4 linked regions of the Mytilus edulis genome follow. The protein of the gene in region 1 purifies or fractionates together with the protein of each later gene. This does not show direct contact. Links are inferred from orthologs where the notes say so. Each region holds a gene or a part of one and is shown on either strand. Other genes may lie near its edges. The genes, in order: putative pre-mRNA-splicing factor ATP-dependent RNA helicase PRP1, calcium homeostasis endoplasmic reticulum protein-like, U2 small nuclear ribonucleoprotein A'-like and RNA-binding protein cabeza-like.

What was found.
Region 2: the proteins of putative pre-mRNA-splicing factor ATP-dependent RNA helicase PRP1 (region 1) and calcium homeostasis endoplasmic reticulum protein-like purify together in Homo sapiens (co-immunoprecipitation; 3 studies listed by BioGRID and IntAct, with this or other methods). This does not show direct contact. The link is inferred for Mytilus edulis from reciprocal best matches to the Homo sapiens genes DHX15 and CHERP.
Region 3: the proteins of putative pre-mRNA-splicing factor ATP-dependent RNA helicase PRP1 (region 1) and U2 small nuclear ribonucleoprotein A'-like fractionate together in Homo sapiens (co-fractionation; 3 studies listed by BioGRID and IntAct, with this or other methods). This does not show direct contact. The link is inferred for Mytilus edulis from reciprocal best matches to the Homo sapiens genes DHX15 and SNRPA1.
Region 4: the proteins of putative pre-mRNA-splicing factor ATP-dependent RNA helicase PRP1 (region 1) and RNA-binding protein cabeza-like purify together in Homo sapiens (affinity purification with mass spectrometry; 4 studies listed by BioGRID and IntAct, with this or other methods). This does not show direct contact. The link is inferred for Mytilus edulis from reciprocal best matches to the Homo sapiens genes DHX15 and FUS.

Annotation. Positions count from the first base shown.
Region 1 is NC_092347.1:43,277,134-43,284,741, reverse strand, and holds the start of putative pre-mRNA-splicing factor ATP-dependent RNA helicase PRP1, read right to left. Parts: upstream 3,023-7,608; 5' UTR 2,937-3,022; coding exon 2,884-2,936; intron 1-2,883. Other genes in the region: probable ATP-dependent RNA helicase DDX56, read left to right, coding at 3,135-3,203, 4,057-4,218, 4,918-4,998, 5,825-5,898, 6,601-6,771, 7,326-7,416.
Region 2 is NC_092344.1:19,672,799-19,680,673, forward strand, and holds the start of calcium homeostasis endoplasmic reticulum protein-like, read right to left. Parts: upstream 3,023-7,875; 5' UTR 2,934-3,022; coding exon 2,906-2,933; intron 1,079-2,905; coding exon 926-1,078; intron 1-925. Other genes in the region: MAP kinase-interacting serine/threonine-protein kinase 1-like, read left to right, coding at 3,218-3,256, 4,693-4,888, 5,126-5,223, 5,421-5,679, 5,994-6,249, 6,483-6,782, 7,135-7,462. UniProt on the Homo sapiens protein: Involved in calcium homeostasis, growth and proliferation.
Region 3 is NC_092344.1:117,059,730-117,066,570, forward strand, and holds the start of U2 small nuclear ribonucleoprotein A'-like, read right to left. Parts: upstream 3,003-6,841; 5' UTR 2,922-3,002; coding exon 2,840-2,921; intron 1-2,839. Other genes in the region: regulator of G-protein signaling 22-like, read left to right, coding at 5,933-5,963. UniProt on the Homo sapiens protein: Involved in pre-mRNA splicing as component of the spliceosome. Associated with sn-RNP U2, where it contributes to the binding of stem loop IV of U2 snRNA.
Region 4 is NC_092349.1:8,782,457-8,790,146, forward strand, and holds the start of RNA-binding protein cabeza-like, read left to right. Parts: upstream 1-4,677; 5' UTR 4,678-4,754; coding exon 4,755-4,770; intron 4,771-7,690. UniProt on the Homo sapiens protein: DNA/RNA-binding protein that plays a role in various cellular processes such as transcription regulation, RNA splicing, RNA transport, DNA repair and damage response. Binds to ssRNA containing the consensus sequence 5'-AGGUAA-3'.

The sequences.
Region 1 (7,608 bases):
CAGTAGCTGTTATAATTTATTTTGAATCCAGAAAAAAAACATTAGATCAAAACTGTTTTTTAGCTTAACTAATGCGTATTTTAGGGGTCATTATAAACTTTGCAATATATATTTTGATAAGACAGAAAACACAAAAAGAGGTAATTGTGTATAACTGATTAAGAATTATTGAAATCAATATAAAATCTTCAACATGTTCATTTTTTTTCTCAACAGGACTTGGAAAGTTGTCAAAGACTACTTATAGTTTAAGAAAAATAGACCAAAACACAAAAACTTAACACTGTGCAATGAACTGTGCAATTGAAGTCATGGTCAAATAAAACCTGCGGGACTGACATATAGATCATAATATATTTCCATACACCAAATATAGTTGACCTTTGGCATATAATATTAGATAAAAAGACCAAAACTTAAAAACTTAACTTTGACCACTGAACCATGAAAATGAGGTCAAGGTCAAATGACATCTGCCAGTTGGACATGTACACATACCAGTCCTTCCATACACCAAATATACTAACCCTATTGCTTATAGTATCTGAGATATGGACTTGACCACCCTAACTTAACCTTGTTCACTGATCCATGAAATGAGGTCGAGGTCAAGTGAATACTGTCTGACGGGCATGAGGACCTTGCAAGGTACGCACATACCAAATATAGTTATCCTATTACTTATAATAAGAGAGAATTCAACATTACAAAAATTCTGAACTTTTTTTTCAAGTGGTCACTGAACCATGAAAATGAGGTCAAGGACATTGGACATGTGACTGACGGAAACTTCGTAACATGAGGCATCTATATACAAAGTATGAAGCATCCAAGTCTTTCACCTTCTAAAATGTAAAGCTTTTAAGAAGTTAGCTAACGTCGCCGCCGGATCACTATCCCTATGTCGAGCTTTCTGCAACAAAAGTTGATAGATTATTTAAACAAGAATATTATAAAGAACATTATTTAAGTTTTCATGTGCCAGGAAAATATAAAAGTGCCTTTGCTAAATTTCGATGTGGTGTGGCGCCGATTAGAATTGAAACAGGCAGATATGAAGGGGTTTTAAGTGAAAATAGATTTTGTTTTAATGATTCATGTATGCAACAGAAACTCATTGAAGATGAGAAACATGTTTTACCCAAATGCCCTTTATATTCACAGGCAAGACAAGAGGTTTTTTACTAGAGCAGTTTCTTTTAATATTGATTTTTTAGACTTAAATGATGATGAAAAATTTATATTTTTATTTACAAATGAAAATTTGTGCTTTTATTCTGCCAAAATCTGCCATGATATTTTAATTCAAAGGAAGAATGTTTTATATAGATAAAAAATGTTTTGTATTTTTATCGAGCTGTCCTTTTTTTATGTAAAAGTCTCTCATAACTCTTTTGAGAGTGGCTCTCGAATGTTTTTAAGATTGTTTTGTACTTTTAATTAAAACATGTTGTATATATTGTATTCATGTTTGTAATGTATCATCTCGTATTGTGTTTTCGACCGTCTGACGTTTTCGACCTAATTCTACTTTCACTTTTCGTATGCTGCGCATGCCTGCATGAGGTCATATTCGGCTGCTATACTTAGTAACAATAGCAAATGATACCATGTGGGGTGAAGATTTTTCAAATAAAGTTATTATATTAAGTATTTACGTTTTTTTAGAGGTCTTTTTGCATGCAAAGTTAACTTCAAGGTCATTAAGTCACATGACTGTCAGGTGGTTAGTTTTTATACTTAAAGTTAATTTGAATACAGAAATACGCATGCTCCTTACAGCTTTTTACCAAAAAATAAAATATCAGTTCAATTTTATTTACAGAAAAAACAGTGTCAGTGGAAATGGAAATTACAGACAATACTCACCAACCTCACTTCACAATGGATAAACCAAAGTATTTAAAAAAAACAAGAATGTATACAAGACCATACAAGGCTTCCAAAGTGCCTCATTCTAAAATGTGTACAACTTGTCCAAAAAAGACATCAAAATAATATTTTATATCTTATACATTTTGTACATGTAGTTGTATATTTAACCATTTAATTCTTTAAGTCATAAGTTAGATCGCCTCTAACACTTTGATATAAACTTTGGTATCAAATTTATAACCAATTCCGGATATGTACGAGATGTCGTTTCTGACTTTAGACTCGTTTTTTTATAGATAGGTCAAAAACACAAGACCCTTGTTTTTGTCAACAAAGGTGCCATCGATCTAATGAACTCAAATGAAATTAATTAAAGATCGAAATATATTTCCGATACAATTATTTTATGCACAAGTATACTAGCGACTCTCAAAATATTAGGTATGTCTATGGTCAAACATATAACAGGGAATTCAGAAAAATGTTAGAAGGTCGAAAATACAATACACGAGGATACATGTAGAGAGGTGAGACTATAATAAAATATTTGATTTGATTTTTACAATCATTTCATATAAAATTGTCATTTCATATGTTAATTTCATTATGCATTTATATATGTGACACCTTTAATTAAAGATTAATCACCTATATGTATTTGTTTATTTAAAAAAACACAACACTGGTACAATACTGGAAAACAATACTGGTACAAAGTTTTTATACCAGTATTGTGCACAATACTAGTATACCAGTATTGAGATCACCAACTACAGGAGATCCTAAAAGACTTCAGGGACAGTCCCTCCCTCTGACAAGTACTGAAAAGATTTATGAAGAAAAGGGGGGATAAATTATGTCCGATTCGGCATGCGTTGTGCGCTACTGTGGAAATGTTCAATTAATAGTGTTATAGGTATTCTACAGTTAGAGAAATGAAACAAGACAAATGTGTGTCTTAATAAATTGAATGAGGCAAAGGCTGCCATGACTTTACAGCTGTCATACCTTGTGCGTTTTGGCAAAGAGTCGCCAACGTCGATTCTGTGTCTTTTCGACATTTTGTTGTTACCCTGTATATTGCAGTATGGCAAATGACGTCATTCGGACATTTGATTTTACAACAAAACTCAACGAAAACCCAAGAGAGATAAGAATGACTTTATAGTCACGCTTGAATAAATAAAAGTTCTGTCAGACTTAAGGTAAAGGAAGCACATGTTTTTTGTACTTCCGGTAAAATCAAAACAAGCAAGACGATGTCAGAACCAGATGAGGACAAAACCTTGAATTTCCATGAGATGGGGTTGGATGACAGAATTTTAAAGGTGCACATGATAATAAGCAATAAGGTTATATGTGATATGAAATATTAGATCGCACCTCTATGATTAATTAAAAATTTTATCAAACTTATAATATGTCACTTCAAATTTGTTATAATCACATTCACAGAAGGGTACAGAATGTATATGGGGTAATACAAAATGGTGACCATTGCATTCCCATATTCACAAACCTTATAGAACACTTCACATCAAATAAATCGCTCTTATTTTGGTCATTCTATATGACTGGACATCTCTGTCTTTATTTTAATATTTTGCTTAAAATACTGTGATCTGTTTGAAAATTATGCATTTTTGTAGTGCAACTGACAGGTTCTTGGTGTTTTCTATCTATGCTGTGTGCTACATGTTCATTGAGATACAACAGATTATTTTAACATCACTTGACTAGCTACAGACTCGAAGCTTGACAATGCATCTCTGTGATGTTTGCAATGTTGATGATTTTCATTTATCCAAGAAAATAATTTTTGTCATTTATCACAATGTTTATTTTTAGTTTGAACCCATACCAAAATTAAGCTTATATAAAGACCAATTTATTAGTTTATAATCATGATTATTACTGGAGCTGGTATGTTTGTGAAAAACATTAGTACAATGTATCCTTATTTATAGATAATTTTTCCTCTTTCTATTTTGAAATTATGTACTGTTTGATCTTGGTTTGGCACAAAATTATAAGTGTCTTCAATTCCTGTGCTTATTATGGATTTGTTGTATGAAATCTTTTATGAAGAGTGCACTGTGTAACAGCAGATAGAGTTTGGAGGGATATCCCATTGTTTACCAATAGGTTAGTATTGAATTAATTTATATTTTACGCTTACAGGCAATTGCAAATTTAGGCTGGGCAACACCAACACCAATTCAGGAAAAAGCAATCCCTCTGGCTTTAGAAGGAAAAGACATTTTGGCAAGGGCTAGGACTGGATCTGGTAAAACAGCAGCATTCTCCATTCCTGTGGTTCAAAAAATATTACAGTCTAAACAGGTAATAATAATACTACTAGGGATTATTATTATTTGTTTGATACCAGTTTTCGTGGGTACAGGTTAACCACAAATTAAAATTTTCAACAAGCTTTTTATTTGGTGGTATACAGACTTTGGCAAAACCACGAAATCACATATTTACGAAAAGGCAAGTTTTTCGGCAATCCACGAAAATTGGTACCCACAAAAGTAAATGAATCCACAGTACTTTGAAATCTATGTTTAATCTAACATGTCACATGTTCAAATACAAAGCAAATAAAGCATAACAACTGACTCGAGTTAAATATTTTTGATATACAATGTGATGAAATAAGATATACTCTGATGTTAGTGTGAGTAAAACAATGCATACTAGTACACTGAATATTTTCCATTTTTCTTTGAAATGGAAAATTGTTTTACTCTGAATATGTAGTATGGAACATAATCATTTTGCATTCTCTTGAACTGAGAAATAGATAAAATACTGTATGTAATGTATTTAGAAATATTAATTATTTTCAGTAAAGGTCAATTAATCATCATGTTTTCGTCATTGATAAATTAAACTATATATAACCATATCTGAAGTTTCATAAGGACATCAAACAAATTTCCAAAATGCATTGTGTTGCAAGTATTTTTTTACAGATATGAATACTGTATGTACTACAAATAGTTTTGCAGAAAGTACATTTTCTCAATTTCTCTCTAGACCAGTAAAGAACAGTGTACAAAAGCTCTTTTCCTGACCCCTTCTAAGGAACTATGTCACCAAGCATATAAAAATCTTATGGTACGTATATATTGTATTTAAAGAGTTACTTGTAACATTAGTGTACATACTTATGGTTAGTATATATTGTTTTATACAGTTACATGTAAAATTAGTGTACATGTACATATATAAAAATCTTATGGTTAGTGTACAATTTAACTAATGTGACATTTACATTTATCTCTATAAATACAATGTATACTATACATTGTATTTATAGAGATAAATGTAAATGTCACATTAGTTAAATGTAACATTAGTGTATATGCACATGTGACATTAGTGTACATGTACATGTATCTTGATGATCTCTCTTTAAACCTACTCATAGATAGCACAAAAAATTAACATAAGGTAGATGGTGGGACAAAATTAATCATGTAACAAAAGTCTTTAGAAAAAGAGAGAGGTACATGTATTAAATTACATTTCTACAGTTTTGGTTTCTTGGACATTCTTGATACACCAACATTACAGAGCTTTCTCGCTAATAATCAGAAAATAAGTTGCATGTTATGCATAAGAATATAGTATTGAGGTCATGTATTTATGAAAACATGTATTATGAACTAGTATACATATTTGTTTAGGGGCCAGCTTAAGGACTCCTCTGGAGCAGGAGTTTCTCGCTGTATTGATGACCAATTGGTGGCCTTCGGCTGTTGTCTACTCTATGGTTGGGTTGTTTTCTCTTTGACACATTCCCCATTTCCTTTCTTAATTTTATTATGTCAATTTTGCATTCATATTAGTTTTATTTAAAGTTGGTACATATGAATTTATAGTATTTGGATATAGAAATATTTCATTAGTACATGTATTTGATTTCTACTCTCTGTTTCAGGAATTGACATCATGTTGTTCCAGAGAAATAAAATGTGTTGATGTTTCGCCAAAAGTTCCACTGCTTACACAAAGGTAACATCACAAATGATAGTGATCTTATTGAGTAACAAAAAAAACCATCAGAAAGACAGAAACTAAGTGTACTTTAACCTATAATAGTTTACTATTATAAATTGTTACTTGGATGGAGAGTTGTCTCATTGGCACTCATACCACATGTTCATATATCTATCAAACAGCAACATATATGTAAAGGAAAGGTACACATTAATGAAAACAAGTTGTATATGTTCATTGAACACCATGCCTGGCTGACAAATAAAAATGTTTTATCATGGTTAGAACATCTACAATGTACAAGGTGTTGAATAAGTTACTTCTTTCTCTCTTGTAAAAATAAGAAGATACGAAGATGGCAATCAAAAATCATAAATTGAAAAAGACAAACAACACCACATCCAAAAGTAAAAAGATGTAAAGTCAAACATTAGTCTACAAAATGCTGCACAGGAAACTAAGATTACACTACACAAACCCTACAAAATAGAACAGAGAGTACTCTAGGACTCTGCAAGGTTAAGCAGTTCCCTTACTAGAAAGAGTCATGGTTGGTAGAAACACCAAATGCTGCCAAAAGATTACATGTATTAGCATACATAATGGCAACATTGAACTATTTTATCTGTTGTTTTGCCCACTCTGTTAAGTAATATTGCACAACATATAAACTTATATGCATTTAGAATAATGTAAGATTTATCTATATTTTGACAGACCCAAATTGATGGAGAAACCCGATATAGTTGTTGGTACACCTACACGTATCCTGGCACACATACAGGCTGGTAATCTCAGTATCAAAGACACCTTGGAGATGCTTGTGATAGATGAAGCCGATCTGGTTTTCTCTTTTGGCTATGAGGATGATGTTAAAGCTATCATAAAGTAAATTTTTAGTTATTTGTCTCAAACCCTCATATGCTCTTTGAGGACTTTAATATGTTAGGCCCTTGCATGAGTTATAGCTTACACCAAATATTTGTTTCAGATTTTATTTGTTAAGACAAACTGATGTTTGCCCCTCTCTCTCATAGTTATAAACAACAAGTTACGTAAGGTTTCCTCTATTTTCTTCATCGTCTTTGAATGATATAACATTCTGTTGAGCAGTAATTTTAAGCTTTCTTGTACATTTTGTTTAATGATCTTTAATGATATAGAAAAAAGAGATGTAAAAACTGCAAAATCAAACTCTGATGTATTTCATCACAAGTATCACTATATCAGAGAATAATAAAGGTCTGTTATGGCAACTTCAAATATTATAAGACAAATATTTTCAATAAACTGTGATCGAAATAGCATAACAACATGGGAATAATAATGTTGTTTATGTTTTTGACTGAATAGAACATCATTTTAGAGGAAACTTATACCATTGTAGAAGTCTTAGTAATATAGTCACGATTTTAAATAAAGAAATTGTATTTGTATTTCAGACAACTGCCAAAGATATATCAAGCTTTCCTTATGTCAGCTACGCTCAGTGATGATGTATTAAGTTTGAAGAAATTAGTTCTTCATAATGCAGTAAGTTGTATAATGTAGATATGTAATTTATATTTTTTATGTCAACTTGCTTCTTGCTTCTAACTCTTTGTTTTCTAAGGCATTGGAATATCATTGCTTTCGATTAAATTGTACTCTTTAGTAAAAAAAAAAATTCTCAAATTGTAAGCAAAATTTGTTTTCATATGTAGAATTGCTGTACTTTTTAGTCAA
Region 2 (7,875 bases), on another chromosome or scaffold:
CTATCACATAAAAAAAATGATATTTTTATTGTATTCTATTTTCTTTTAAATATGAACACAACTTCTAAGAAAACTATTAATTTATATTAAAGTCAAATGCTATTTACTCTAAAAATGTTTTTAGTCTTATAATATCATTTGCATATTTTTTAATATTTCCCTTTTTACTAATTCTAGATGTTTTCATACTCCCTCTGAGATGACACCCTTAGAGTGAAATCAACAAGTAATTAAGAGAGGTGTCAATATCAATAGATTAATTAACAAATTATGTCTATCATGGTGTGAAAATTATTTCCAATTATATATCTCAAATAAACAAGGCTTTGTTTTTCATGTTATCAAAGGATTAACCCATATTTTTGTCTGACCTTTATCAATTCGATAATTCTCATGAGAGATCAAATAATTAAACTAATGCAATCTTCAAAAGATTTCTGATCTCTTCAAATAAATGCATAAAGAGGAAGTCCTAGGGGGAATTAAAATGGACTAAGAATATAACAAAAAGAGTTCTTTCACCTGTTATATAACTTTTCCTAAACCTGTGAAAAATAATAAAGTTCTTTGATCTATGCGATCTACAGTTTTAATTCTAACAGTTTTGGATTAACAAAACAAAACAAAAGATATTTATTAATAATTCTATGTTTAATTATACAAAAATACATTGACTTCATTATAAATTATGTATCTGGAATAAAATTCTAGAAAGACCTGTTCAATTTGTTGTTTTGGCATTTGACATCAAACTGTTCTATAAATAATGTTGAGTTTTTTTAAAATTTGCATTCAGTCAGTTTTCTTTGAGAAAATATATATTTTACTGATTGTTCTATGACAGATTTAACAAATTGATAAGTTCTTATTCAAGAGACTTTTTCTAATAACAACACAATTGCTCTTAACCTATGTATCAACTTACCTTTAAATTTATAATAGTTATAGTGTTCTCCACCAAAAAGAAAAGAGAATTTAGGATTGTCTTTTTGTTTCTGTTTTGTCATCTGTTCAAATTCGGGTCCATTTCGAGCAACAAAGCTTGCCAATTTGTCTATAATATTTTTTAATTCAAGTTCTGAAAGGAAAAAAATAGTCATTAAATAAAAATGTTAAAAACAATGGTATTGTTGAAAACATCTGGTAAAACTCCTCAACTTTAAAATCACAAAATGAAACGAAAGTTTTTCATCCTTTAGGAAACTGAGGATTATTAAAATTTCTTATGATTTATAGTTTCAATTAGAAGACATTTGAGACTTTGGTTAGAAGGTATTAAACATATTCCAATAATATTTGAAGATAAATGAGAATAGAAGCTGAATGAACTGTGACCAAACTAACAAAACTAAATTACACATTTCCAATAGATTAAAATAAAAAGGATGTGCAATGCCATTGTAATCTGAGAAAAATTCCATATACATTTTTACATGTACATGTATAAAGGGTTTAGGATCAGAGAAAAAAAATCCAAAACTGTACTGCAGTGTACTGATATAATAAAGTCCATGCCAAAACACAAGAAATTGAATTGCAATGAATATTTTACTGATATATAAATAACATTTATTAATTCATATAGACTGTAATTGATTAATTATTGAATTTTGCACTATAAATTTGTGTTTTCAGTGATTCAAAATATAGTTACAATTACAAGTGAGCACAAATAAACAAAATATTTTAAAACAAGAATGTGTCAATAGTACAAGGATGCCCCACTCACACTATCATTTTTTATGTTCAGTGGAATAAGAAATTGGGGTAAAAACTCTAATTTGGCATTAAAATTAGAAGGATCATATCATAGGGAACATTTGTACAAAGTTTCAAGTTGATTGAAGCAATTAATCCTTTATATTTGATATACATTTTGTAAGAAAGGAAAATAGGGAGACACACAAGTACATTATCTTTTGCGAAGGTTTAGGTGTCTCAATCTGACAAAAAGAAGAGTGTTTGCTTCAGTGTTCTATGTTTTAATTTATTGAAAGCTAAAGGATTCAAATTTTGTCAGTTAAGGATTATGGTCCCTTGTGTTGATTAAATGCTAAACATATGGAAATTTTATAGAAAATCCACAGCATTTATCCTTGTACCATCATATTTGGCAATGTCATGACTGAAAGATATAAGATTATTGCATGCAGTGACAGCATTGATTTCCTTAAAATGAGTTTATTAATGTAGCTATTGGTTAAAACAAATTAAAATATGGACCAAATCAAGTTCACCTTTTAGGGTACATTTGACTTTAGTGACTCGGACAGCACGAGGTATTTTGGAATTTGCAGGTTGATTAGAACTTTTTGTAAAAAATAAACACCAGCACATCATAGAAAAGCAAGTGCGTAATCTATGTTTCAAATTTTATAACAAAAATCTCTGTATTAAAGGCTGTGGATTTTCTATAAAAATCTTGGATTATTTGCCATAAAGTACTCTTTTTCTATTAAATGCAATGAAACAATAAATAATAATGCTTTGCATCAAGTTTCCCCTCTTTTATTCATTACATCTGTAGTTTTGATACAATTGAAGTTTGAAATATTCGTACAAAAATGGCTACAGAAGGGGTCATAAACCTTAATCATGTTATCTCCCCAAACATTGAAACAGTAAGCAAAATACTAAACTGACCATATCAATGATCACAACACATATACCTGACTAAGAAAAACCTCCATACTAACCATAAATGAACCCCAAAAAGGTCGAAAATTTAGACATGACAGCAACTTTAGACTAACAGTAACAAACCCTTGAGTAAGACAGTGTTTACCTTTTCAATATCATGATTTATTGAGAATTAAGATAAATACAATTGCACATATCAATATCTGTACAAACAAGCTATTTAACAAACAAAAATTTGCTTCTACAAAACTATACATAAACTTACCGTCAGGATGATTTGGTGGAATATCCATTTTTTTCTACACACAAAACGTGAGAAAAATAAATATTCAATGTTCAAAATTATCTCTCTTTAAATATGCTGAATTATGATTATTAAAACGTTTATAAGACTTAAATTTTACAACTTTTAAAAATCTTATTTTTATATATATATTTTTTGCGTAAGTTAACTTTTTCATTAACTTTTAAACAAAAAGTGATGCTTTCTAGAAATTAATTTCAAAAATTAATTTTCATTATTCTTCCGTAAATCTCCGACTGATTGTTTTGAGAAAATGGTGACAGCGGCGGGAGGATGCTTGAAAGTTCTAATACAAAAAGCGTCATGATAGAAGTAAGTTGCATTGAGATACTAAGAAGGTTTCTTTTAATCATGAATAAAAGATTGATTTTGATTGATATCAAATGCTGTTATTGTATTTAACACCAGAAATTTAGAAATTTGCATTGTTTGTAGGTCACGCCATAGTAAACATGGCCGACATTGTTGTGAGACGGATGTAAACAAAATTGCGTGGAACTGCGTACGTAGACTGGGGTCACATATCGTTGAGTCAACCAGTCAACGTTGAGCCACGTAGCTGTGCTAGTATAAATAGCTTGGCTGACGTAAACTTTTTCAGTCTTGAATGTTTATTGAGAGTGTGTTGAAATGAAAGGGTGATCAAAATTATTCAGGTCTAATGACCATTTACCGGTTTAGAAATATTGGATTTTACAAATTTTGTCGGAATATAATCAGGAAATAATCAGTTTTATTTAAAAAGGAATTTTATCAGCATTTAAAATGATCGATGTAAGTAGAATTATTTTTTGCAATCATTTGTTCTTCCACAATTAAAAACATTGAATATTTTTGCAAAATATTGTTGACTTGGTCTTATTTTCTGAAATTTTACAATTTAATACTCTGGTGTTGCCTCAGGGTGTTTGCAATTATTTTCATGCATAATTCCAGTTCTTCCAGTAGATATTTTTTTTTGTTATTTACATCTATTGTTTATATTAAAATTTATATTTGTCACAAACTATTAACAGTTTTATAGATATTGTCTATTATGTTGATTTCAAATTTACTTTTAATTTCACTGTAATCTTTACATGAAGGCCATGGATATTGATTATGTATGAAATGTAAATATTTTGAAGATGACCCACTTCTTTGTTGACACAATTACATGTTAAGCATAACTGAGTTTTCTAAACAGTAAATGTTTATCAGAAAGCAAAACATTATCATGAATATAGATGATAATTAAATATTTAACTCTTAAAATTTGTCAGAGGTCTGGAATATTCTTAGGTATTTACTGATATTTTGGCGGATTGCCCAAATGGAAAATCCTAAACCATAGAATGACTTAATCAACTAGCATTCTGATTGGCTGGTTTAACAAAGCAGTTCTAATTTTAGATTCCTTAGCTCAACTACTTAAAATATACTTTACCAGTAAATTTGGCTTTTATAAATAAACTTTTATGATGCAACTGTTACTATTGCAATGATTTGGTGAAATCCATTTCATTTTGAAAAACCAATAGAGTAGGAATGGATTTGTGAATGTCTTGTCAGTATGGTGAAAGGGTTTACAACAGAGGAGTATGATTTTCAATGCTCAGTTGAAGAAGGTATTTTTGAAGTGTTTATTTCTGAACATGTAAATTGAACCTATTATCTGATTTTCATATTATATTGATGATTGGGATTTAGTTTGGTAGAACTTAAAGATATGAATGAAATTTTATTGTGAATGTATCATTTTATTTCAGATCGACCAAAAGTCAAAGTATTGCTCACAATCACCACCACGACCAGAAAGTTTAATGTTCGAAAGTATAATGACAAACTTGGATATGGAATTGGCAGACTCGGAAAACAACAACGGCCCATGCTCTATGAATATCAGAACAAGAAATAAAAAGAAAAAAAGGAGGGCTGCTGACAACTCTGTTAAAAAATTTGAAGGTAACTTTTTTATTTGTTTTCTTGCAGTTGAAGTGAGAAGGTTCATGGTATTTTTGGGAAAACACAACTTGAAAAGTTTAATAATATTTGTGGGTTAATTCAATGTGAAACACTAATGAAGATGTCATGACCTTTTAATAAGTTTTTATTATTGAACAATGTAATGATATTGTTCATTACTGTTTGTATATGTATTTATGGTATGAATCAATCATTTAATATTCTTCTTTTTAACAGATCTGTATACAGCAACTGGAGAAATTCTTGGAAATGGAGCATGTGCTGCTGTTAAAACCTACAAAAAAAACACAACGAACAAAGAATATGCTGTTAAGGTAATTTCAAAATATATATTTTTATTATCAATGAAACAAATAACACATTTTTGTGATGACCAGTGATAAGTAGAAACTATGAATTTTGTATAAATACAGTTGAATATTACAAAAATTAAAAATATGAATATAAATAAACAATACCTACATGTATCAAGAAAGTTAAAAATGTTATATGAAATCATTTTATTTTGCAGGTTATTGAAAAAGATTTTACCAGATCAAGAAATAAGGTTTTTAAAGAGATAGAGATTTTCAGTATTTGTCAAGGCCAGGATAATATTTTACAACTATTTGAATACTTTGAAGAAGAGGACAGATTTTATTTGGTATTTGAAAAGATGAAAGGCGGAACATTACTTGCCAATATTGAAAGAAGAGGCCACCTATGTGAGAGAGAGGCTGCACTTGTAGTCAAACAGATAGCCATAGCTTTGAACTTTCTTCACCAAAAAGGTAAATATATATATAAAAAAAATAATTATACTTCAGTGTGGAAGTGTCCTAGTTTTCCAGCATTTATCTTAAATTAATGTCTCTTAATAGATTGACATTTATTTGAAGAAAAAAAATGTTATTTTAGTTACTTTGTTGTAAAGATACCTATTGGCATAAAAAGCAAAGAAGAAAAAAAACCATACATTATACATTTTGCAGTAGGAGCATCAAATTTCATGATTGTTTTTAGCATATTCTGTATATAATGATAATCTACAAAGGAACATTTTTCCAAGCACAAATTAATATGATCTTATTTATTATTTTTTAAGGCATTGCACACAGAGATCTCAAACCAGATAATATTTTATGCGAGAGAACTGATGAAGTAGTCCCAATACGTATCTGTGACTTTGATTTGGCTAGTGGGGTACCAGGTAGCCAGACAGAAGACAATTGTACAACACCAGAACTTCTTACACCTGTAGGTTCTGTCGAGTACATGGCACCAGAAGTTGTTGATGCTTGGGTTGGAGAATCATTCTCATATGATAAGAAATGTGACCTGTGGAGCTTAGGAATTATATTGTAAGTTCTTTACTATTTTGGTTTTAAAAAAAAGAAAAAAATAGCAAAATTTTCAGGTGTTAATTTATCCAGATGAATCTTTTCAATGTGTTCCTTCGTAATTTTCTTGTTGAATAGCATAGACTCAAAACTTTCATTTACATAATTTAGAAAGATGATATTGATTAGTGCTTAAATATTGCTAAATAGTGAAATTCAAAATGAGTAACCTAGAAATGAATTTTGTGTTTCAGGTATATTATGTTATGTGGTTATCCTCCATTCTATGGACAATGTGGTGGTGACTGTGGCTGGGAAAGAGGTGAAGCCTGTCAGTCATGTCAAGAGACCTTGTTCACTAGAATTCAGGATGGCATGTTTGAATTCCCTGACAATGAATGGGGAGATGTATCCAACGATGTCAAAGATCTCATTCAGAAATTACTAGTCCGTGAACCCAGGAAGAGGCTGACAGCTTTGGAGGTTCTACAACATCCATGGATCACATGTCCTGCAGCACCTACCCCATTGGCTACTCCTGGTATTCTTACAAGGTATGCTTTATTTTACTACAAGTCGTGTACATTTCCATATTAAGAACTGTATGTTGGTGGGATGTAATAAAACGTAATTTCCTGTATACATCAGATAAAGTATGTGACCACTTGATGCTTTTCCTGTTTACATTGTTAACAATGTAATGTCTTGTTTTTTACACTATAACTGTTACATTAAATTGAGACGGAAATATGACTGTTGAAGCAAATAAATTTACACTAGTGTTTGATAAGCTTGAAATAAGCATCATTTCTTTAAAGTCTTACTTTGCATGACATTTAATTTTGTTTAAGATGAAAACATGAAAGCTTTTATCTGTTATACATTGGACTCTTATTTATATTGCAGAAACAACAGTACAAAAGATCTGGAATGTTTTGCTGGAGAAGCAGTCTCAATCAACAGAATGATGCAGCAACATCTTTTGATTTCGGAGCCTCCCAATTTCTTTATTGGTGGGAGGGACGATTTTGACTGTGATGCATATGAAAGTGGTGATGATGATGACAAGTTTAATATACCAAGTTTCAAACTGTCTCCACCAAGTTCAGGACTGGCTAAAAGACGTACAATGGCCAGGAAACCAAACAATTTAAGTGAAATTACTGAGGACAGTAGCGACAGTGGTTGTTCATTGCCAAGCTCTCATTCATCTAGTTGTGGCATAAGTATCTGAGACAAAGACCAAACTCATTTGATATCAGTTATTGTTCTGGTTGTGTTATTTTTTGAGTGCTTAACTTGACAGATTTTATACATGTATTGAATGTGTGTGCTATTTTGTATTTTGTCCATTGTAAGAATGTGTTGTGTATAAAAGTGTCGAGTATGGATGTAGGATTTGGTACATTATATATCATGTAAATACCACCTACAAAAAAAATAAAAACAACACGATCTTGTAGTGGAAATCCATTTTTATAAAGAAAGAAATTTTATTTTTCCACAATGATAAGTATGTCATGTTAATCTAAAATAAAGGGAGATAAATCCTATCAATACTTATTTCTATGTATGTTTGTGTATAGAAGATCAATAATATTTTGTTGAAAGGTTTAGTTTCAGGGATACTCATAACGTTATGTTAAC
Region 3 (6,841 bases), on another chromosome or scaffold:
ACTATTGACAAATGATCGTAACCTCTTCAGTATCATCATGATCATGAGGAAAAGTTGCTTCTCTTTATGAAACTGATAGGAAAAAGTCGTTTGACTTAAAAGAGAAAGTGTATGTTGGGTCATTGTCCTCTAATGTAACATTTCCACTCATCAGAAACTATGTTGATAAACTAAAAAGCGATAAATAAATCATCATTTAACAAATCACGCTGAATAAAAGGTCTGCTGGTCTACCCCAGTTATTAACGAGAATGTGTCCAAAGTACACGGATGCCCCACTCGCACTATCATTTTCCATGTTCAATGGACCATGAAATTGGATAAAAAATATAATTAGGCATTAAAATTAGAAAGATAATATCATAGGGAACATGTGTACTAAGTTTCAAGTTGATTGGACTTCAACTTCATCAAAAACTACCTTGACCAAAAACTTTAACCTGAAACATGCACTTTCATTTTCTATGTTCAGTGGACCGTGAAATTGGGGTCAAAAGTTTAATTTGGCTTTAAAATTAGAAAGATCATATCATAAGGAACATGTGTACTAAGTTTCAAGTTGATTGGACTTCAACTTCATCAAAAACTACCTTGACCAAAAACTTTAACCTGAAGCGGGACAGACGGACGAACGAACAGACGAACGGACAAACGAACAGACAGACGAACAGACGCACAGACCAGAAAACATAATGCCCCTAGAAAACATAATGCCCCTCTACTATCGTAGGTGGGGCATAAAAATAGAAAAACCATGATTTATTTATTCATGCCATGTTGTCCCACTTATTAAAGACAGTCTACTACGCTAGTAAAGACTGTTCTTACATTCATGAAAAAGAATGCATTCTCATAGAATTCTAAGAAACTGATAGGCAAAAGATGTGAGACTTAAAAGAGAAGAGTACATGTATGTTGGGTCATTGTCCTCTAATGTAACATTTCCACTGGTCAGAAACTATGTTGATAAATTAAAAAGTGATAAATAAATCATCATTTTGACGCCACCCCCTTTACTCCATAATGACGCCTTTTGATGCCTGTGTAGTACCTCAGTTGAAACGCTTTGACTACAAAGTGTCTGCAGTAGACTTAATAAAATTTGTATCCAATATGAAAAGGAATATCGTAGGAATATCCGACTTTAATTTATTTGATGAATTATTTGTTTTTTCGCAATGCATTAATACTTTAAAGCATATTTTTAGCATTTTATTGAGAAATCCTTATGCGAATCAGGTATGCAAACAAAAAAATTCAATGGAGGAAAGGTTAACAAATCACGCTGAAAAAAAGGTCTGCTGTTCTACCCAGTTATTAAAAATAGAAAAACCATGATTTATTTATTCATGCCATCTTGTCCGACTTATAAGGACAGTCTACTACGCTAGTAAAGACTGTTCTTACATTCATGAAAAAGAACTCATTCTCATAGCATTATAGGTTTGCCAACACGCCCAACTGTTAAATTTAATAAAATGGTTATGAATACCTTAGAAATGCATCTTAGTTTTTTTAAACTCTTTTCTTTTGGTTGAAAGAAAGCAGAAAGATGAATTAGTGTTTCTGTGAAGGACGATGTAATTGACTATTGTAACTGTTTATGATGGGGTTTTTTCCTGGTTTATAATATAATCACTGTTTTACAGAATAAGTGGATAATCATTGTTCACATATGTTCACATAATTTTATTTTGTTATGATAGGTTTGCAGTGCAAACTTTGCACAATAAGTCAATAACACAAGCAGTGGCATGATAACACAAAACAAAATACTAAATGAAATATCAGGACTAGAAACAAGACCACACAACTAAATCACCCAGTGCGGACTTGTATATAAATTATACATATTTGTATGATATTGATAATTCTGGATAGTGGAGGGTTATATTAATATTGTACTCTACCAAGAGGTTGTCCTAAAGGACAAAGAAAGATTCAGCAGTAAGATTCAGTACTATGGCATACCATAGATAAGTTTTCATCAGTGGGGTGAGTTGGCTGACCTTTAATAAAATTGAGAATGGAAATGGGGAATGTGCCAAAGAGACAACAACCCGACCATAGAAAAAAACAACAGCAGAAGGTCACCAACAGGTCTTCAATGTAGCGAGAAATTCATGCACCCGGAGGCGTCCTTCAACTGGCCCCTAAACAAATATATACTAGTTCAGTGATAATGAACGCCATACTAATTTCCAAATTGTACACAAGAAACTAAAATTAAAATAATACAAGACTAACAAAGGCCAGAGGCTCCTGACTTGGGACAGGCGCAAAAAATTTAAACATATATATATTCTCCAGGATTATATTTAACAGGATTTAATCCTTTTTATATAAGTTGGGAGAGTTTGTAGGCCAGTGTGTGTCCATTTTAAGTGGGGAGATAATTTTTAAAAGTGTGGCGATTTGATGAAAAAGTGAGACGATTTAGTTATGAGACGATATTTTTGGTGTGGAGTATGTATATTGTTTCACAGGAGTTTGAAATCCTATCAATAAGGGGGTAAAAATATACCAAAGTCGACTATCACAGTATATTTTCGAGAGAAGCTCTACTGTGATAGTCGACTTTGGTATATTTTTACCCCCTTATTGATAGGATTTCAAACTCCTATCATTGTTTACACAAGAAATATATCAAAACCAGAAGAATCTACTCCGACCAATTTTGCATGAATCTACGTTTCAAAAAGATACATTCGCAAAAACTAAACTGCCTTAACAAAATACTGATTAGCCAAGTTTAAGTTATGAAAAATTATATTATTTTGTTGTGTTTTTGACAAACTCTGTCATTGTGATCTTTTACGATTCGAGACAGTCAGTTTACCTCTGAGATCAAGTTCTCTATCTCGAACTGGGTTTGTATATTGTGCAGATTGTTCAATCAATTCAGCTGTTAACTTAACCATGGTGTTTTAGTCTTTTTATTTAGTTTTATTTAGATTTAGTACGCCATGCGTCTGTTCATGTGCGCATGCGATTGTGGAAGTAGTTTAATTTGAAAAACTAATGCGATCAGCCATGTATAGTATCCGGAAACTGGAACTGAGTTTTTCGTAGATTCAAGCAGAGCCTTCCTATACTAACTTTCTTTAAATTAGTATAAAAAGTCTCTGTTTCAAATGTGGTAAAATTCACAGATTTGTGACTCAAGAAAATCCCCCATAAGAGGTTAAATTTTAATATGTCATAGTGCTTCAAAATCTAAACATACTTTAACAACCGAGGCTCAAATTCATTAAATAAACTAGTAAAAAGTATTCTTTTCAAACGTTTTTTTGTGATGTATAAATGTCATAAATACACATCCACTGACGTTCATTTTTTATATCGAGATTACTCTATCTATATTTCACATTAGACATTTTTCATTATCAGTCTGTTCATGACCGTGACGGCGTATGAGTGGCCGTTCGTGTCATTTGCGCGATTATATACGCGTATATTATCACGCAAATGACATGAACGGCCACTCATAATGACGTTAAGGATTATGTACCCTTGTGTTGTATCAATGTTAAACGAAACATATGAGAATTTATAAGAAAATCCCGTGACAGCCTTCCCTCCTCGTACTCTTAATTTTGGCAATTCGGTGCTTGATAGATAGAGGATTATTGCATGCAGTGCTAGCAATGATTTCCTTAAAACAAGTACATGTATATGAATGTTATATATGGTGCGCTCGACTCAAGTTTAACATGTGAATCAGCACAATTTTTTTTTTTAATAATCAGGTTTATTTATGACTTTTCTATAAACAATAAACGCTAGTAAATCATAGAAACACAAGTGAGTGATCTATGCTTAAAATTTCATACGAAAAATCTTTGTATTATTAAAATCTTGGTTTTATTTATCACAAAATCCTATTTTTCTATTCAATAAATGCAATGGACAATAAATAATGATGCTTGTTGTTCACATGGCAACAGAAGGGGTCATAAACCTTAAATTACTAAATCTCTGGGATGTGTTTTAGTTGATTTTACTTCCTGGTGCATGATTTTTTTATCATTAATTTGTTTTGGTGTTCAGTAACTGTTTTAGCTTTCCGTAACTGCGAATACTCTCGAATCGTACTTTCGTGTTATTTTGACCTGTTGAGATAATTTGTAATGATTTTTTTTGTTATTTAATGTTAACTTGGCCTATTTAGTGTAATATAATATTTAAGATATTTCATATAATATATAAGATATCTCATAGAAATGAAATGATATAAGATATCTTATATATTATAGGAGATATCTTATTTAGTTTATAAGATATCTCCTAAGGTTTATAAGATATATCCTAAAGTTTATAAGATATATCCTAAAGTTTATAAGATATCTTGTATAGTTTATAAGATATCTTATATAGTTTATAAGATATCTTAAATAGTTTATAAGATATCTTATATAGTTTATAAGATATCTTATATAGTTTATAAGATATCTTATATAGTTTATAAGATATCTTATATAGTTTATCAGATATCTTATATAATTGTCTTTTTGAGATATCTCATAAACTATATAAGATATCTTATGAAGTATATATGATATCATATAAACTTTATGAGATATCTTATATGACATTAAAGATATCTTATATAACATTAAAGATATCTCATATAACATTAAAGATATCTTATATAATATATGAGATATCCTATAAAAATTAAATTATTTTAGATATCTTATATATTAAAGTAGATATCTTATATATAATAGGAGATATCTTATATATAATAGGAGATATCTTGAAATTCGAAGAAATAGTAAAACGGCTTGCCATATATATCGACCCCCTTCGAAATTTCTGGCTACTGGCCTGTGGTTCATAAGTGTTTCTCGTTTCTCGTTTTTTATATAGATTAGACCGTTGGTTTTCCTGTTTAAATGGTTTCACATTAGTCATTTTTGGGGCCTTTTGGCTTGCTGTTCGGTGTGAGCCAAGGCTCCGTGTTGAAGACCGTATGTTGACCTATAATGATTTACTTTTACAAATTGTGACTCGGATGGAGAGTTGTCTCATTGGCACTCATAATGCATATATCATGGCATAAGATTTAACACATAAAGACAGCTACGGCGTTCCATACGAGTCGTCAGCACCGTACGTGAAAATGATATAATTCTAAGGAATCTAAAGATACCCTCAAAAGTATCTACAAATCAAAATTTGTGACTAGTCTAATTATCCAGCGTTTATTTATATTAACTAAATATAGTGTGTTCGTTCTTCAACTATTCAATTATAAGTGTTGAATTTAAAACAATAAATTTAAAGGTTACAGTTATCACAAAAATCAAACGTCAACACGTTAACACCTAAGCAATTTTGTCTTGACGAATCAATATCATCGATCAGTATTCCTTATGACCCTTCATAATTTCTTGGTTCAAATATAATTTATTATTGAAATATTAAAAATCAAAATTTAAATTCAAAGTTATCCATATAGTATTCGTATTCAAGTTCTTTTCACTATTTGATAATTAATTTGCACTTAATAATTCTATATTTGTGATATTGTAGATTACTAAATGTCTTGTTTAGATAACCGTATCAATTAAACTATTCAAATTTGCGAACATATGATCAGATAATTTGGTAAAGAGATCAATGGGTTGTTGCTATAGTAGTTCCCAGGTATGCTGCTAACCTGTGTAAAGGTATCGACTCCGATCAAAAGCCAAAATTCACCTTATTCAATTTTTCAATGATATAAGATACTATGAAATCGAAGTTGCTTGGATATACGTTACAGGTATTTTGTAAAGTCATATCTTCCTCGACCAAAGTGACATCTTAAGATATTGAGTATTTGTTTAACCCTACATATGGAAGTAGTAACTTAAAAAGTCATTGCTAACTGTTAAAGGATGTAAAGATATTCATGTGATAAAAAGGGAGACAGTACATTCTCATTATGCCGTCTGTCGTGGTGTATGCTAAATTGGGTAGGTAGATGTTTCCTTTTTATGACATTTTTTTTTATACAACAATGTATTTGAAATATGAACCAAAACAAAATCTTTTTGAACATTTTCATATTGTCTAAAAATGTAATTTTGAAATCAAGATGACATATCTCATCATTAGGTCAACATTACAGTTGAATGTTTAGAAAAATGAAAATACTTTGAAATTAATGAGCAATGTATATATGAAATATGCATATCCGCGTAAACATTTTTAAAGGAAAAGATACAATAACATGGACATATTGAAAAGTATGTTGAAAACTGCTATCAAGAGGACGTTTAGAGATTGAATGGAAAATATATATAACTCTTACTGGAAATAAGCTTACTATGCAGAATGAATTTAGTTCATTGTTGAAGGCCGTATGTTGACTGTAGCATATATATGTTACTTTCAACGTTACTTGGTCTCTGGTGGAGACGATTGTTTCATTAGCAATCATACCACATCTTCTACCAAAAGTGTAAAATGAAACATTATAAAAAAACTTAAGCTTTTTCGATAAAGCAAACGATTTATTCGGTCTGTAATCACCCCTGCAATTTTTAATCAACAGATATATCTGACTAAGGTGGGATGAATATACTGGGTTGTTTCGTATGGTTTATTTTTACTATTGTATGATTGGAAGCCAACCAAATAGATTGCTGTTTGAAATATGAATAAACCAATCAATCAAATACAGCTTTCCTGGTATGCTTACTTTCTGTACTGTCAAATACTTGAGTTGCTTAATTCACGGAAGCGGTATTATTGTATAAGGATGGGGTTTATACGAATTCAATGAAGAAAATAGCTGAAGAATATAAATATGAACAGCAAATGCGATGTCATCTAAGAAATTCTTAAATTA
Region 4 (7,690 bases), on another chromosome or scaffold:
ACATCAGGAAAGACTATTGGTGACATGCAATTAAAAGTACAAGATGATCTCCAATGTGTTGAAAAATGGTGTCATGAAAATAGCATGTTCATAAATTCAGATAAGACGAAATGTATGGTTATAGGTACAAGACAAAGGCTGCGTTTAAATCAAGCAGATCCAGTTCTAACTATTGAGAATAATATTCTTCAAAAATCATCAATTGAAAAACTTTTAGGTGTTAGAATTGACTCTAATCTGTCCTGGACAGGCCATATTAATTACTTATGTTCATCAATTTCATCAAGAATTTTTTTACTCTCTAAAATCAAGAAATTTCTAAATATTGATCTAAGAAAATTATTTTATAATGGTTATATTCTCCCACTGATAGATTATTGTTGTATTATTTAGAGTGGTTGTGCTAAAAATGAGCTAGTCAGAATAATAAAATTGCAAAAAAGGGCTGCAAGACTTATTTTAGATGCTGATCCACTTTCATCATCCGCTCCACTGTTTAAACAGCTTGGATGGATGACAGTAGAGAACAGAATCTCATACCACAAATCTGTTTTGATGCATAAATGCCTTAAGAATGAAGCCCCTGTATATCTCACTGAAAAGTTTAAAGAAATGCCAGAAATAAACCAATGTCGTTTGAGAAATGCCTCTTGCAAAAATTTACAAGTTCCAAAAGCCAAAACAGAGCTTTATAAGAAATCTTTTATATATTCATGATCTGTTTTATGGAATAACTTACCAATATCCCTGAAAAAATCAACCTCAAGTACAAGCTCATTCAAAAAAGATTTAAAAAATTACTTGATGGAACATTAAGAAGCTGTGCATTTTTTATATGCATAATAATTTTCACACACTTACTCAAACTTATGATATTGTTGATGCCAATACTATACATGTCATATATGAATTTGTAACTTTTACCTGTTTTGAAAATTGTATATTTCATAACAATTTTTTATTCATTGTTCATGTATGTGTGTCTGTTTGATATTTTGTAATTGTTTGTTATATTTCATTGTATTTTATGAGGGCCTCAGGGAAGATTAGCTTTACAGCTAACTGTGTAACCCTCTTTAAATAAAGAATTATTATTATTATTATATTATCATAAACGTAGTCTACTGTGCTTGATTTTATCATTGTTTACGCATTTATATCGTATAATCGTCATTTTTTGTTCGCTCTGTCTGTTATAATGAGAAAATATGGCAGCTCGTTAAAAGAGGGACGAAGATACCAAAGGGACAGTCAAACTCAGAAATCTAAAATAAACTGACAACGCCATGGCTAAAAATGAAAAAGACAAACAGACAAACAATAGTACACATGACACAACATACAAAACTAAAAAATAAAGATCACGAACCCCATCGTCGTGTTTTGAAGCCGTAGTTACCGGTATCACCAGCCCAGCAGTCAGCACTTCGGTGTTGACATGAATATCAATTATATGGTCATTTTTTATAAATTTCCTGTTTACAAAACTTAGAATTTTTCGAAAAACTAAGAATTTTCTCATCCCCAGGAGTAGGTTACCTTAGCCGTATTTGGCACAACTTTTTGGGAATTTGGGTCCTCAATGCTCTTCCAACTTTGTATTTGTTTGGCTTTTTAAACATGCCAAGAAATCCTCGCTAAAAATTTCGGTCGACCCCCTACGGCAGTCATTAGTAGCTAAAGATTTGATTTCATTCAAGAAATTAATGTATGACCTTCATGTACGTGTCGCTTAGAACACGGTCGTATACCAAATGGTCAAAATTAATCATCCATGTAATTTGCTCTATGGGGTGTTTGCAGTATTTCAACGGAGGCAATTTCTTGGCAAGGGAGAAAGGAAGAAAGACCATTCACAATTTGTCTTATATTTGTTTTTCTCTTTTTTAATTAAATAAAAAAAATAATAAACCTTTCAAATGTACAGTTCATAAGATAAAAAATATTCCCTGTGGAACACCTCCCCCCCTTTTTTTGTGCTCTCTATGTTTAACCCTCGAATTAAGCTTTCCAATTAAAAATTAAAACCTTGCTTTCTAACCAATCTATTCATGTACCGGACCGGCAACTTTCTTTATTTAATACGAAAATCTACAGTGCCGTTATACACATGCATGTTGTTTGCTTGGAGTCCCTTCCCGAAAAGAAAGAAATAGCCAAACTCCAAAATACTATATTCCTGCATCACGTGATTTTTACCACGTGGAGCTTACATTTAAATAAATACCGAATATGGAAAGTGAAACTACAATTCAAAACATAAAATCCGAAGGCACAAATAAGAAAAAAGAAAGGTTTTTTTTGGCAAAGGGTGCCGGGGTAATTCTCTCGGTGTTCAAAATATACATGAAATATTTGCCACTGCCCCTTTTCTGTTCTATGAATTTTGACCCTGAGTTTTCTATCTGTTACGGTTTTGATCTGAGCGTCACTGGTGAGTCTTATGTAGACGAAACGCGCGTCTGGTGTATTAAAATATAATCCTGGTACCTTTGATAACTATTTACACCACTGGGTCGATTCCACTGCTGGTGGACGTTTCGTCCCCTAGGGTATCACCAGCCCAGTAGTCAGCACTTTAGTGTTGACATGAATATCAATTATATGGTCATTTTTATAAATTTCCCGTTTACAAAATTGAATTTTTCAAAAAAACTAAGGATTTTCTTACCCCCAGGAGTAGATTACCTTAGCCGTATTTAACACAACTTTTTGGAATTTTTGATCCTCAATGCTCTTCTAACTTTGTATTTGTTTGGCTTTTTAACTGTTTTGATCTGAGCGTCACTGATGACTTTTATGTAGACGAAACGCGAGTCTGGCGTATTAAATTATAATCCTGGTACCTTCGATAACTATTTACCGATTGTCACCTTAAAGTTGATAATCAACCAAAAAAAAACATGGATATTGAACACGTGCATAACATGTACAATCAGATAATTGTTTATTTTAGTGACAGATCCATGCGTATTGCGGTCACCGGATTTTTACGAGGAGGTTTACGCTCAGGTCACTATGCATACGGAAAATATGTCGGCGAATTGCTTACTGGAAGCAAGCAATTCAAAATAAGTAAACTTCTTCTAAATGTGGACAAATTAAAGAATTTTCCTCAGAAAAAAGAATATGTACATAAGTTGTATAATGAAAACTTTTTATAATTCTATTAAGTATGTATGCAAAAGTCCATTTATAGAAAAAAAAATATATGCGAAATCCTATATTTAAATAATAAAAGATTAACACCAGCGAGCCCCCATTAAGAACAAGAAATATATCTTTTGAATGATTAAAATTTAATAAATTTTCATTTATCAAGACTTATGAACAATTTCTGAGACTTAAAATGAATATATGTAATGAAAAGAAAACATTGCAAGATCTTTATCTTATACATTCAAACAATGGTCAACAAATAAATTGCGAATTTTTGAATTTTTGTCCTATCAAATTTCTGACTTTTATTTCCTGTGACTTTCTTCCCGTTTACATGCGCGTAGCTACGTTTACGTCAAAACGACCGGGATTACACTTGAATTTTTAAAATAAAATTAATTGAAACGCGCGTCTGGCATATATACAAAATTTAGTCCTGGTATCTATGATGAGTTTATTTAAGGACAAAACGTATTTCTTTCTGCACTTTATAAGTTTTCGATCATTTTTCTGTTCTTTTTTGATAGACAGATAGGCGGACTCTTCTTTACGAATGTTACGCAATTAATTGTTTTACATGCTCAATTTATAAACCTTCATAGATTATCGTGAAATATTCCAGATCAAGAAAAAAATATCAAAAGAAAATTTTAGTTTATTTTTTAAATCCCTTTAACATGTTTAAATGAATGATAAATTGATTTACTTTTTGTGGGAAGAAATCCTAGGTATTCCAGATTTTTTTTATATTGCACCTCTTAGAAATATTTTTTGTTTTCTCTGAAACCAATAACCATTAGGTTTGCTTCCAGTTTAACACGATGAATAGGTTAACATATTACAAAATTTAACAAAAACAAACAAACCATTTAGATACAAAAGTATGTTGCTATCAATGATTTTTTACTGACAGGAAGCATATATTACGGTATCTTATTCTCGATAGCTGTCGGGGGCTTCGTCCCTTTCGAACCCACTACCAGCAGGTGCTTTAACATTGAGCGGTTGTCACCCCTCATATCCCTCGTCAAGTTTCGGGCGTACACGTAAAAATGACCCAGCTACCGTCTTAATTCTTGCTAAAACGTAGCTAATTCGGAAATTAAAAAAGAGAATTTTGTTTTTGATGTCAATAATGACAATTGTTTACTTGTTTTTGATATTTATTTTAAGAAAGTCTTCTTAGATCAACTGAAAAATGGATAAACACATGAATTCGTACTAACACGCTTCACCACATGTCCCCTATGACACCCCTGTTTAAAACTGATTTTCCTTCCTATGGTGTGTTGCTCATAATTTGATTAGAAACTAGTTGCGCATGCTCACAAAAAGAAATTGAGGTCTGCAACAGGATAATGAAAAGATAAATGTCGAACTGATAAGTTTCTGTTGTCGCATAAATTGATTATTGTTGCAATAAATTATAGAAATTTAAGTACTGAAGAACACAAGTTAAATATTTACCAATTGATATGTAAAATCTATATATTTCTCACAAAATCTAAAAGTTCTTAAAAAAATTGTATGGTCACATGGTTCCTTAAACACACGCGGTCTATACCACGTGACTCTTGCACAAAAACGAACAGACAATGGCGGATGCAAGTCGTAAGAAAACACTCTTTTTACCCTTAAATTATTGTTTTAGCTCAAGAAATGCTTTGTAAAGTCATCCCTGTGTCCCATATTTATGTTGTTAGACGATGATAGATATAATTGTATTGGGCGATACCAGTATTTAGCTCAAATCATGGTAAATTGCCGTAACAAGTCAACATTTCGCACAAAAATGCCGGCATCGCACCGGGCGTTAATGAAGCCAATTGAAACACAATGTTATGTTAAGACGCAGCACTTACAAATTAATTAACTTGCATTATGAAAAAGATGATGCATTGATGGACCTCAATCGAGATGTAAAACTAGAAAGCCGGTCTAAATGTATTATAAAATCAATTGAAAAGTTTTCTGAAATTAAAAAAAAATGTAAGGAAAAAAAACGAGCTGACATTAAGTCTTATAGTAGTCCGAGATTACTCTGACGTCCAACGGCTGTTTTGCTGGGGCCATGGGACGTCAGAGCTTGTCCCGTATCAAAAAGTGGATATTTGCCCACCCAAAATAAATGCGCAGCTTGTCACGTCTGGTGCCGACTGATGGCCTTGGAATTATATAAATCAGGCATCAATCTGTTCATTTTTCATTTATGTCTTCATTTATGTAAGTTTCACCTACCTGCCAACCTTTATTTTCTCATAATTATACAGTTTTCACAGTGACCCATTGATTTCCTCATTTTGCCTTTCATTTTCAAAGATTATCACATGACCACATGAAAACAGTGATGATTTATGCAAATGACCATAATGTAACACCTCGTTTATTTACGATGCAAGTTATCTAAATGTCCGAGAGCTTCCGACTGTAACATGGTCGGAACTAAATGCTTAATACCGATCTCCTGTAAAGGAGGTGAAGTATCATGGCTGGCTACTAAATGTTAAACATCTATTTCCTTTAAAGGAGGTTAAAAAATATAAATATTTGCATATTTTGAGTCTTGAGGCCACGAACTCTTAGTAACTTGATGTCCATTTAATATTAGTCTGGAATTATTCAACTAGAAAATCCTTGTTGGTGTGAGGTGTTTCAATATCTTTAATATCGCACTTCTGATGTTGAATTTCATTACCAGCATGGATGAAGGGGTTGAATAAAATAAAATAATAATGAATAAAGTCCAACTAGAACTAGTAATCGTGCTTATAAGTTATGGTTAAGTTAAGTTGAAGGTAATATTGTCCATATCTGACTATCAAAAGTCAGTCATTGGCTCAGTTTAAATTTAAAATTGTTTAAATTAATAACAAGCAAAAATGATGGGGCACTGTGATAAGTGTCCAAATTTGAAAATAAAGGGTGGCAGATAGACGATTCGAAACTTGCATAAATTAAGTGATAAATGAATATTCAATAATGAACAAATTGAGACCAGATTTATATGGATCCAATGCCCTCAGACAGCTCCAGAAGCTAGGAAGCAGTGCATGTATTTTGAACAGGGTAACATCAACTTTTTGAAATTGGACAAGCTCAGACATACCATGGCCCCAGCTTTGGATGTCAGAGAATAGGCTTGGTGACATCAAGAAATTTTGTAATGTTTAGTAACACATTTTTTTCACACCAAACCAAACAATGCTTTTTCAGTCATGAAATGAATAAACAAGTTCAGTTATATATAGAAATAAGGCATTCAGACCATTATATTCCTCTGAGAGTATACCATCATTTCGCAAAAAGAAATGTTACAATCACAGCATTAAAAAAGCTGAATTTGGGGTTCACAATCTTGCGTTGTTTTGATCGGTTGCCCACAGATTACACTGGGTCAGTGGGAGTATTACATGTAGATGGATCATATATGGACCATAATTTGCTATTGGGCTCCGTTTCCTATAACTATAGAAAAGTGATAAAATGTGAATTACTGTAAGAAAAGTTGTAACTACATCTAAAGATGCCATTATTTTTATCAACATACAAGTGTATGCTACTCTTCCCTAGAAAAAAAATTGAAATTAACAAATTTCAAAGATTATACGACCGTATTTGTGTGTCGTTTCTCGCGTTACTTTTCACGTCCGAAGTGCATAACGCTGACTAATTTATAGATAATCGTCACCGGCAAATTCGTAATTTTTGCATTAAAATAACAAAGAACATCGACCAATAAGAATAGTGAGAAGAAAATGCCGAGAACTATAAGTATTTCTGTAGCAGGTGTAAGAACACTGTCGTTATTTTGGTTTCCCATTTCGTAATGCACATTTTAGATGGTTTAATCTGCTTTGTTGTAAAAGAATTCTTTGCAACAATATGCAAATACGAACTCTCGCGAGATGTTCAAACAGGTAAATGATTTAAAAAATCAGAGATGATTTACATTCTTGTTTTGTTCTTCGTAATAATTAAGTTAGAAAATGACGTTATCGTTATGCGTTACATTTCACACGAAACAGAAGTCCATTTATTTATTAAAATTGTTTTTGTCGTTAAGTTCTAATCATTTCAGGTCATACGTGAAACATGTGACTAACATGTGATCACGCCCTTACAGCCGGATATACGAAATACTAGGTCTAAACATTGTATTTGTTTCCAACGGGATGTAAGCAAACATAATCTGTAGGCTTGTTTCGTCTTGTTTAAAAAAGGAAAATACAATTTTCAAAGAGATTGCGCTGGGGGTCTATTATTTTTCCTATGTGCATAATGTTACATACGATCTTGTGTGAAAATAAATGCCCAATGACTTGACAAAATCGATTTCAGATTTGACCAACGTTTTAACACACTTCGTTTCCCAATAACGATGTAAAGGGTCCTTGGAAAATTCAATCGAAATTACGTCTCTTATCATGGTGCCGATGTTCGTTGGATTGATTTAGCTTCAACAGTAAATATTACTGGATATTTTAGGTGAATAAAGATAATTTAATAAAAAATACATGTTAATGTACCGTTA